2 linked regions of the Callithrix jacchus genome follow. The protein of the gene in region 2 purifies or fractionates together with the protein of the main gene of each other region. This does not show direct contact. Links are inferred from orthologs where the notes say so. Each region holds a gene or a part of one and is shown on either strand. Other genes may lie near its edges.

Evidence for each region.
Region 1: the proteins of EPC2 (region 2) and MBTD1 purify together in Homo sapiens (affinity purification with mass spectrometry; 3 studies listed by BioGRID and IntAct, with this or other methods). This does not show direct contact. The link is inferred for Callithrix jacchus from reciprocal best matches to the Homo sapiens genes EPC2 and MBTD1.

Annotation. Positions count from the first base shown.
Region 1 is NC_133506.1:115,118,060-115,122,571, reverse strand, and holds the start of MBTD1 (MBT domain-containing protein 1), read right to left. Parts: upstream 3,038-4,512; 5' UTR 3,012-3,037; coding exon of another isoform or gene 2,670-3,011; 5' UTR 2,343-2,669; coding exon 2,205-2,342; intron 2,159-2,204; exon of another isoform or gene 1,942-2,158; coding exon of another isoform or gene 1,921-1,941; intron 1,689-1,920; exon of another isoform or gene 1,447-1,688; intron 1,287-1,446; exon of another isoform or gene 1,223-1,286; intron 1-1,222. Other genes in the region: UTP18 (U3 small nucleolar RNA-associated protein 18 homolog), read left to right, coding at 2,670-3,011. UniProt on the Homo sapiens protein: Chromatin reader component of the NuA4 histone acetyltransferase complex, a multiprotein complex involved in transcriptional activation of select genes principally by acetylation of nucleosomal histones H4 and H2A.
Region 2 is NC_133507.1:81,631,548-81,635,359, forward strand, and holds part of EPC2 (enhancer of polycomb homolog 2), read right to left. Parts: intron 3,024-3,812; coding exon 2,934-3,023; intron 1,398-2,933; coding exon 1,252-1,397; intron 1,146-1,251; coding exon 802-1,145; intron 1-801. UniProt on the Homo sapiens protein: May play a role in transcription or DNA repair.

The sequences.
Region 1 (4,512 bases), on a different chromosome or scaffold from region 2:
GCAAGGTACTCGCAAGCATTCAGTATGGTGTTCTATATAAATAGAAGCTACCTGTTATTCAGAGAAGGAGGTAGTGCAAAGAAAAAAAAAAGATCATTTCTTTCTGAACACTCTTTGGTGTTGAGGTAAACAAATGAAAAATAAAATAACAGCCTAACACAAGAGCAAAGCAACAGTCTCTAAGTTATAAAAGGAGGAGAGAAAAATCGAGTTTAACCTTTGAAACAGGAGACTGGGGCTTAAGGTGTAATTTATTTGCTGGCTTTTAGATCAGAGGCATTATTTCTACACCGTATCTATTATGTCTTGACCCCCACTTGACTATATTAGAGAGAAACAAGTACATCCAAGATTCTTAAGCCAACACAACTACTTTTGGAGGCAGCATGGCTCATCAAATGAAGAAGTATGTTAGAAAAACGTCCAGTGACAATAGTTTCAACGGAACTGTCTCAACCACCCACTGATAAATACTGGTGCATGTGAGTATAAGGAAAGGAGAATTGAAATACTGTAAACTCTAAACAAGTATTAAAATGGTCCATAAATTTCAAATCTCATAATAGAGAGAGTTGAAAAAAAACGAAGAGTAAAAGCATTTGGAAGAGGGGCCCTTGGAGGAAAGACCAGCTTCCAAGGAACACAGGTCAAATGAGTGGAGGCGGTAGTTCTTCTAATCATCCCCTCTACCAGGTGATGCTTCAGTACTATCCTTAACAGGCAATTTTAGACATCCTTAGAAGTGATTTAGGAAACAAGCAAATGTGCTTTGTGATACAAGAACTACGGAGATAATGTTGAAATTTCTAACTTCAAAAAGATGCACTAGTGAGAGAAAACAGACACGAAATTCCCATATTCTAATTCTCTAGCTTCCTGTAGAAAAATATCATCTTTAGGCATGTAAGCCAGCACATTTGACACTGACCCTGCAAAGTTTTCGGCTGGCCCTCACTATCTCTCAGCCCCCCTCTTCCTCCACTTCCCTGCTGTTCTTTCCTGGCACACAAAATATAGGCCAATGAGCAGTGGGTGGGTGAGGAGGATGTGAGAGAAAATTTGAGAAGTAAAAAAAGGAGCAACTTAACCAGGACATGAATGAGACTGAAGGGTCTAACAAGGGTAGGCAAACAACAATTAGAACTACTGAAAAATGGGCTTTCCCGGGCAGTAGTGAGCGCTCAGTGCTTTTAGGGGTTTAAGCAGGGGCCAGGCTACCTACCACTTGTCAGAGAGGCTGCAGAGGGAACGGCTGCTTTGGATGACCTCTAATGTCTCTTCCGACTCTGAAATGTTAGGATTCTTATTTCACAAAGGAGAACGCAATAATCATAGAAGCCCACTGACTGGGAACCCTTTTAAATACGCAGCCTTGGAGGCTGATTCCCAAACACCACTCCCACCTCTCCCGCACGTGCCCACCCCGCCCCCTTTCAATATTTCCACCTCCACGTGCAAATTGCCTCGCGGCACTGGCCCCAAGGCGGATAGACACCTTCCCCTGCAAAGCACCAAAACTATGCTCGCCCTCCTTCCAAAGAAGTGAGGACTACTACACTCTCCCACCCAGGGTGGCTAAAAAAGGAAAAGTCTCAGATCCAGCCTTTCTCCCCTAGCCAGAGCAGGGGACGGGGACGGGGGCGGGACACAGAGAAAAACTTTCTTCTCAAAATTTTCTTCCAGAGGGTGGAGGAAATGGAGAGAACCCCAACGAGTCCGGGGCTGAGGGGGTGGGGGGAGGGGAACCCCTGAATCGTTTAACGGCTGGAAGGGGGAGGGGGACTCCAGAGGTTGAGGGGGCGTGGGATGGAGAAGCAGGCCAGGGAGCGGGGTCAGGGAGCTGCGGGGTTCCTGGGGTCGGGGAGCTGCAGGCGTCCCCCCGACCTGGCACACAAAGCGGCTGCCGCGCTCGGCTCTCACCAGATCCTTTGTGTTTTCCATCAGGGCCTCATGGGTAGGGGTTGTCCGTGCTCCCCGAGCCCGCGGCGCCCCCTCCCAGGGCTGGGGGCAGGTGCCTCTCCCCGGGACTGCGGCGATACAGGGGGCCCCCGGCTGGGTCCAGACCGGTGGCGGCTGCGGCAGCCCCCGGATTTCCCCCCTTTAACTCGGGTGGCCCCAGGATATCAACAACATTAGCATAGCCCTCCCTCCCCAGCGCGCCTGCGCCGTGACCCGCGCCCCGATTGGCCCACTTCCCTACATACCCTCCTCTCTCGCTTCCAGCGTGGGACCCTCGGCAGGCTCCGTACTCCACGGACCGTACCAAGACGAAGGGTGGAAAGCTTATCGAGGCTTGTGTCAAGTCCAGTGATTAAAGTCAGGAGGAAAAGTAGAAGTTTCATTCAGTCGTCCCAGTGTATAATTGGGCTTTCTTGAGCTCCTTTCAATATGTTGCAGCTGCGAAGTTGTGTTGGAAAAATTTTCCACTCCAGTCACGCCGCTTCCCTCTACACCCGGAAGATTGGACCTCCCGGAGGAACTCCCACACGGGGCGGGGCCGGCTAGGGGAGCGGGAGTTACGTAGAGGGAGGGAGTGTTGGTCACGTGGCAAGGGGCTGCGCAGGCTCCTTCCAGCCCCCGGGGCTCCGGCGGCGGCGGACAGAGAGTCGCCTGGGCGCATGCGCAGCGAGGTTCCACGTGAGCGCCTGCGTTTCTCCTCAAACCCAAGGATGCCGCCGGAACGGAGGAAACGAATGAAACTGGATCGGAGAACAGGAGCAAAGCCGAAGCGGAAGCCCGGAACGAGGCCAGATTGGAAAGCGAGAGCCGGACCGGGCGGGCCGCCCCAAAAGGCTGCCCGTTCATCCCAGCGGAAACCGCCGGCTCGGCCGAGCGCGGCCGCCGCTGCAATCGCAGTCGCGGCGGCCGAGGAGGAGAGACGGCTTCGGCAGCGGAACCGTCTGACGCTGGAGGAGGACAAACCGGCCGTGGAGCGGTGCCTGGAGGAGCTGGTCTTCGGCGAAGTCGAGGACGACGAGGACGAGCTGCTGCGGCGTCTGCGAGGCCGGCGGGTGAGGGAGGCCGCGGCGCGCGGTCTGGGCGCGCTGGGGCGGGGCGCGCGGTGGGCGGTGAAGCTCCGGGGGGCGGAGCCTGGGCGACCTGCGCCGGCGGGGAGCGCTCAGGTGGGAGGGAGCCCGAGAACGCGGGTGCCGAGGGTCGCAGCTGCGGGTCCCTCGCCTCCCAGCGCTGGACTGAAAGTCTCTGGAGGGCGGGGACCGCGCCTTTCTCCGCCCCCGGAGGCGCCGCTCTTCGGGTATCCGCTTTGCGAACTGTGGTCTTGAGCATCTTTCGCTGCTGCTCCGCTCCTCTAGTCTCTCCCCAAACTGAGCCTGGTCGTTTGATCACCTGCCTCAATTCCTTGTGATTCAGAAATTCCATTTGGCTAATGGAATCAGTTAGTTGGCACGGGCCTGGGCATCTATCTGGGTTTTAACTATCTTCCCCATGTGACAATGAGACACACCGTCTTTTGAGACTGATCGTGTATTCGTCCATTTAGCAAAATATTGGTGAACCTGTTTGTTGCCAGATACCCAATCTGGCAATGGCAAACGCTGCGTGATTGATCTTACTTTTTGCACACATTTTGCCATTCCTTTAGTTCTATATCTGGCTTTTCTTGAGAGATAGAATCCCAGACATTGTTCGAGGCACTGGAGGAGACACAGCAATGGACGAAACTGCCAAAAACCCTGCCCTTTTGGAGCTTGTATGCTAGTGGCAGAGACAAGATAGATGAAATAAATGAGTAAACTTCAGGTTTGTTGGTGACAAGTGCTGAAGAGAAAAAAGGACATTCGGGAAAGCAGGATGAGCTTGTGTAGAGGAGGCCTGTTAAATTTTAGATGGCGGGGGCCGAGGAAAGCTCACTGAGAATTACCCAGTCCATGTTTATTACACGAATGCTGACCTAGCTAATGTCAGCTGCTTATCAGAGCCTCCTTTGGGTGCTTGTGGGAGAAGTGGCAGCCATCTATTTGGGAAGTAGAGAACTACCACTGGAAAAATGCTGAACTGTGACAGCTTTGTCGTCTGGAAAAGGACCAGTGTACTGAGGTGGGCGCTGTTGGGTTTGAAGGCACGTAGACTGGTAGTAGAGCAAGTAGAAATCACTTGGACATTTCTATCGTGGTTTTGGGAAGCTCAAGCTCACTTCAAGGGATGTTCTGTGGTCTAGGTTTAGATTTGATAGTATAACTTTATGGTATAAATTCATAATTTTATAATTTAGATTTGATGTTATAAACGTATTTACTAGTTATTTAATGATATAGTCTCACCCTGTCACCCAGACTGGAGTGCAGCAGCCCCAATTAGTCTTCCAGCTCTCTTATGCTAATAGTAACTGGTTGCTCTTCCTGTTCGTCACAGATAATTATATCTGCACAACGCTTTAAAGTAAGCTCAGAAGGCAGCTTCATCCTCCTAGGCTCAATTGATCCTCCTACCTCAGCCTCCCAAGTAGCTGGGACCACAGGTGCACACCACCACACCCAGTTAATTTTTAAAATG
Region 2 (3,812 bases):
CCTGATCTAACTAGAGGTAAGCTATCAGACAAAAATTACTACTTACAGGGGCTAGGCACGGTGGCTCAGGCCTGTAATCTTAGCACTTTGGAAGGCTGAGGCAGGTGGATCACCTGAGGTCAGGTTCAAGACCAGCCTGGCCAACATGGCGAAACTCTGTCTCTACTAAAAATACAAAAATTAGCTCGGGTGTGGTGGTGCGCACTTATAGTCCCAGCTATTGGTGAGGCTGAGGCAGGAGAATCGCTTGAACCCAGGAGGTGGAAGTTGCAGTGAGCTGAGATCATGCCACTATACTCCAGACTGGGCGACAGAGTGAGACCCCATCTTAAAAAAAAAATTATTCATAGAGTCTTCTAAAAATCATTTTCAGAAAGTGTTTTCAAAGGTACTCTCAAGAAGCAATAGTTACATTTAATCAAAGTTCAACACACCAAAATGAAAACTACCTTTAACATAAGCACCAGATAGTACTATGCTGTGATGATCTAGTGGCAGCTTATAAGCAGGGTGCCCATAGGGAAACACTGTATGCATTCTGCCTACATTGATCATACCAGGCACACACTCAAAATAGATGTCACTGGTTTTACAGCACTGGTTAGGGCAATTTGGTTAAAATGTGAGGCACAACAGTACAATTTGGTTTCTAGGTTGGAAAAAAAAATGTAGTAAAGATAAAATTCCTTTCCTAAGTGGGAAAATAAATCTTCAAATTTTACCCTGAGAATTTATTTAGTAGATAATAAAATTAAGTGGAAAAGAATAGCAGGATATACTTTTAACACAGCAACAGCTTACCTGATATGCCATTCTTGCTGGTGTTCAATAAAGCTAGAGATGCCGCAGAAACTCTTTTATTGTTCACAGTCTGCCCTGGTTTTCTTGAGGTACACTCTTCACTATCACTGTCCTGTAAATTTAGTAGCCTTGGCTGGAAACACTGTAGTCGACATGATCTGATATTGCTTAATATTTCAGAAAGGGACAGTCTATTTTCACAATGTTTACTAGAAGCATTGGTCCGAGAGAAATTAGAAGAAAAGTCTGTAGTTTGGGAAGAGCTTGAAAAACTATTCAGCATTTCAGGGTCTATCTGTTTCAGGACTGGGTCATGTTCTGTGGATATTCGGTCCATTATGACCCTGAAAAGCAAAATAAAACCAAATATTAACTGACAGAGCTTAACATTTTCTCTTGGTCTTCTGTTCCATATCGTAAACAAAAACCAGGTGAAAACAAATACTTCACCTTCCACCCCTGCCAATTCGCCTCCTTGCAAATCCTATACATCTTCTCGGGACTGTAAGTGTTGTAAGGCAATGCCTATACCTCAACTTATCCAAATCTGCCAATTCTGAATTTTCACATGAATGGTTAGCTTGGTCCAAACGAGGCTGCAAATAAAGAAAGAAAGAAAAACCCATGGAATAAATCTGAAATGAAGACAGGTTAGATCATGATAAAAATGAAGCAACTGCAACATTAGCGGAACAATTAAAATTTCGACATGAAACTATTAATCAGGTTAAATTTTATAAAACCGAATCAAAAGTTCACTAACCAAGATTACCCAAGATTACCCAAACTGAATTTAGTTTATAAATTCATTTAGGGTCAATTATGCTTAAAAAGGAATATATCTTTAAAATAATACAGCTTTTAACATTTGCGTACAAAGTAGAAATGGTGAAATTACAGAGTAATTTTTAGGTTTTCTACTGAGAACCAGAAAGAATATTTTTTGGACTAAAAATCGCACTTCAAACACTTATGGGGTCAAACTGAAGCTTCCTCTTCATTTTTAAGAAACATACAACCAAGTGGAACACAGTGGCTCATGCCTGTAATCCTAGCACTTTAGGAGGCCAAGACAAGAGGATTACTAGAGATCAGGAGTTCAAGATCAGCCTGGGCAATGTAGCAGGACCCTGTCTCTACAGAAAAATACATAAATTAACAGCATGTGGTTGTGTGTGCCTGTAATCCCAGGAGGCTGAGGTGGGAGGACTGCTTGAACCTATGAGTTTAAAGTTACAGTGAACTGTATGACTGCACCACTGTACTCCAACTTGAGTGACAGAGCAAGACTCTTTCTCATAAATACATACATACATACACACACATATACATACAAACAGCCTGTTCCCTGCCTTCCCATTCCCTCCATCATTCTGTCATGCTATGTCTGTCCCTTTTCTTAAGAATTTTCCTTTCTCTCATCAGCATAACCAGTAGACAAATCACCTCTTCTAAATTTACACACCCTAAAAAAGTTGTCAGTGTATGTTTACCATCATGTTATAAGATATATGATCTCTACAAGCCATATAAGAAAGCCAAAGCCATCCTTACAAGGCTACATTACACTTCATCTAAGAACCTTGGAGAGTGATATAATTTGACTTCATAGCATAAAGCAACTTCTATGTGTGTTAAAACAGCTTATAAATAGCCCAAAAAAGCCACCACCACAATTTTTAGACAAAACATCGCCATTAGGAAAGTTCAAAAATTATTACTTTGTTTGATACTTATTGGTATGTATGCACAAGATGGGCTTACATAACAATAAATTTCAGTAATCACCTAGCAGCCATCAAAGGTTCTAGACTCAACTTACAAATTCTGGGTTTTCCTAATTCTAGTAATGACATACCAAGTAATTTTCACAACTGCTGAAGTTATAATTAGAGCCCAAAATGAAACTAAATTTCTAAAATGTGAGGAATTATCAATTTCTAAGAGGATTTCAATACCCTTTGAAAGGACTCAGTACCTTTTAAGCATCTTTTACCAGTATCCACATAAAGGATGTTAAATAAAAAGTACTGATGCACTTCCCATTTTTAGATCAAGACTAAGTCATCTTGACATGGGTTACCTGTTAATTCCAGTTCACAAAAACACCACACACACAAAAAAGTTCTTACAGCATAATATTGGCATCCTGCCCGCCTTCTGAAAGCACAGGGACCATCAGGATCATTTTCTTCTTCTGGTTCTGATACTGGGGACAATACCTAGACAAAAAAGGCATTCCATTTATGAGTTATCAAAAGATCAATGTTTGTAATGCTGTAAAATTTAAATCTGATCACAAACAGTAAATCACTTCTATATTATATATAGTAGGTGCTGAATTCCCCAAAACATTCAATGACTAGTAAAAATGTTCTATGGCTAAAAATCCTTATTTTTAATGGATTAGTTCTTAGAGGTTAACTGTACCTGGCATTGCTTGATTGCTTCTAAACATGAAATGCTACTGACTTAGAATTAATATAGTTTGTATACATCCCACTATATTTTATAAATAATGTAATAATGTATGTGGCTATAAATATTTAATGATGACAGTTATATTTCACCTATAGGTAAGTTTATTTTTATTCAATAACTTTATCTCTCTGTAATAAAGCCAAAAACTAGGATGTAAAAACAGCTTATAAATAGCCCAAAGAAACCACCACAACAAAAAAACCAAAGTCATAAAGGTCAGATTTTACTCAAAGAAAAGTCTTTTATCTCCCCACTCATTTCCTAAAAATTATTTTGTAAACTTAATAGACCAGAAGCAGAAAATCAGAAGAGAAAAGAAAACTTGCTAAGGTAAGTAGATTGGTTACAAAGATGTGATAAGCCAACTACCCTAAAGAAAAAGAATAAAGACTTTCAGAAAGCTGTCACATTATTAGAAAGCACTGTGCCCAGACCATGTCATATCAGGCCAAATATCCCTATGTAATTGAGTGGACCTCTAGGGCAGTCGCACTGACCCATTAGAGGGCACTTTATTATAAATGTCATAA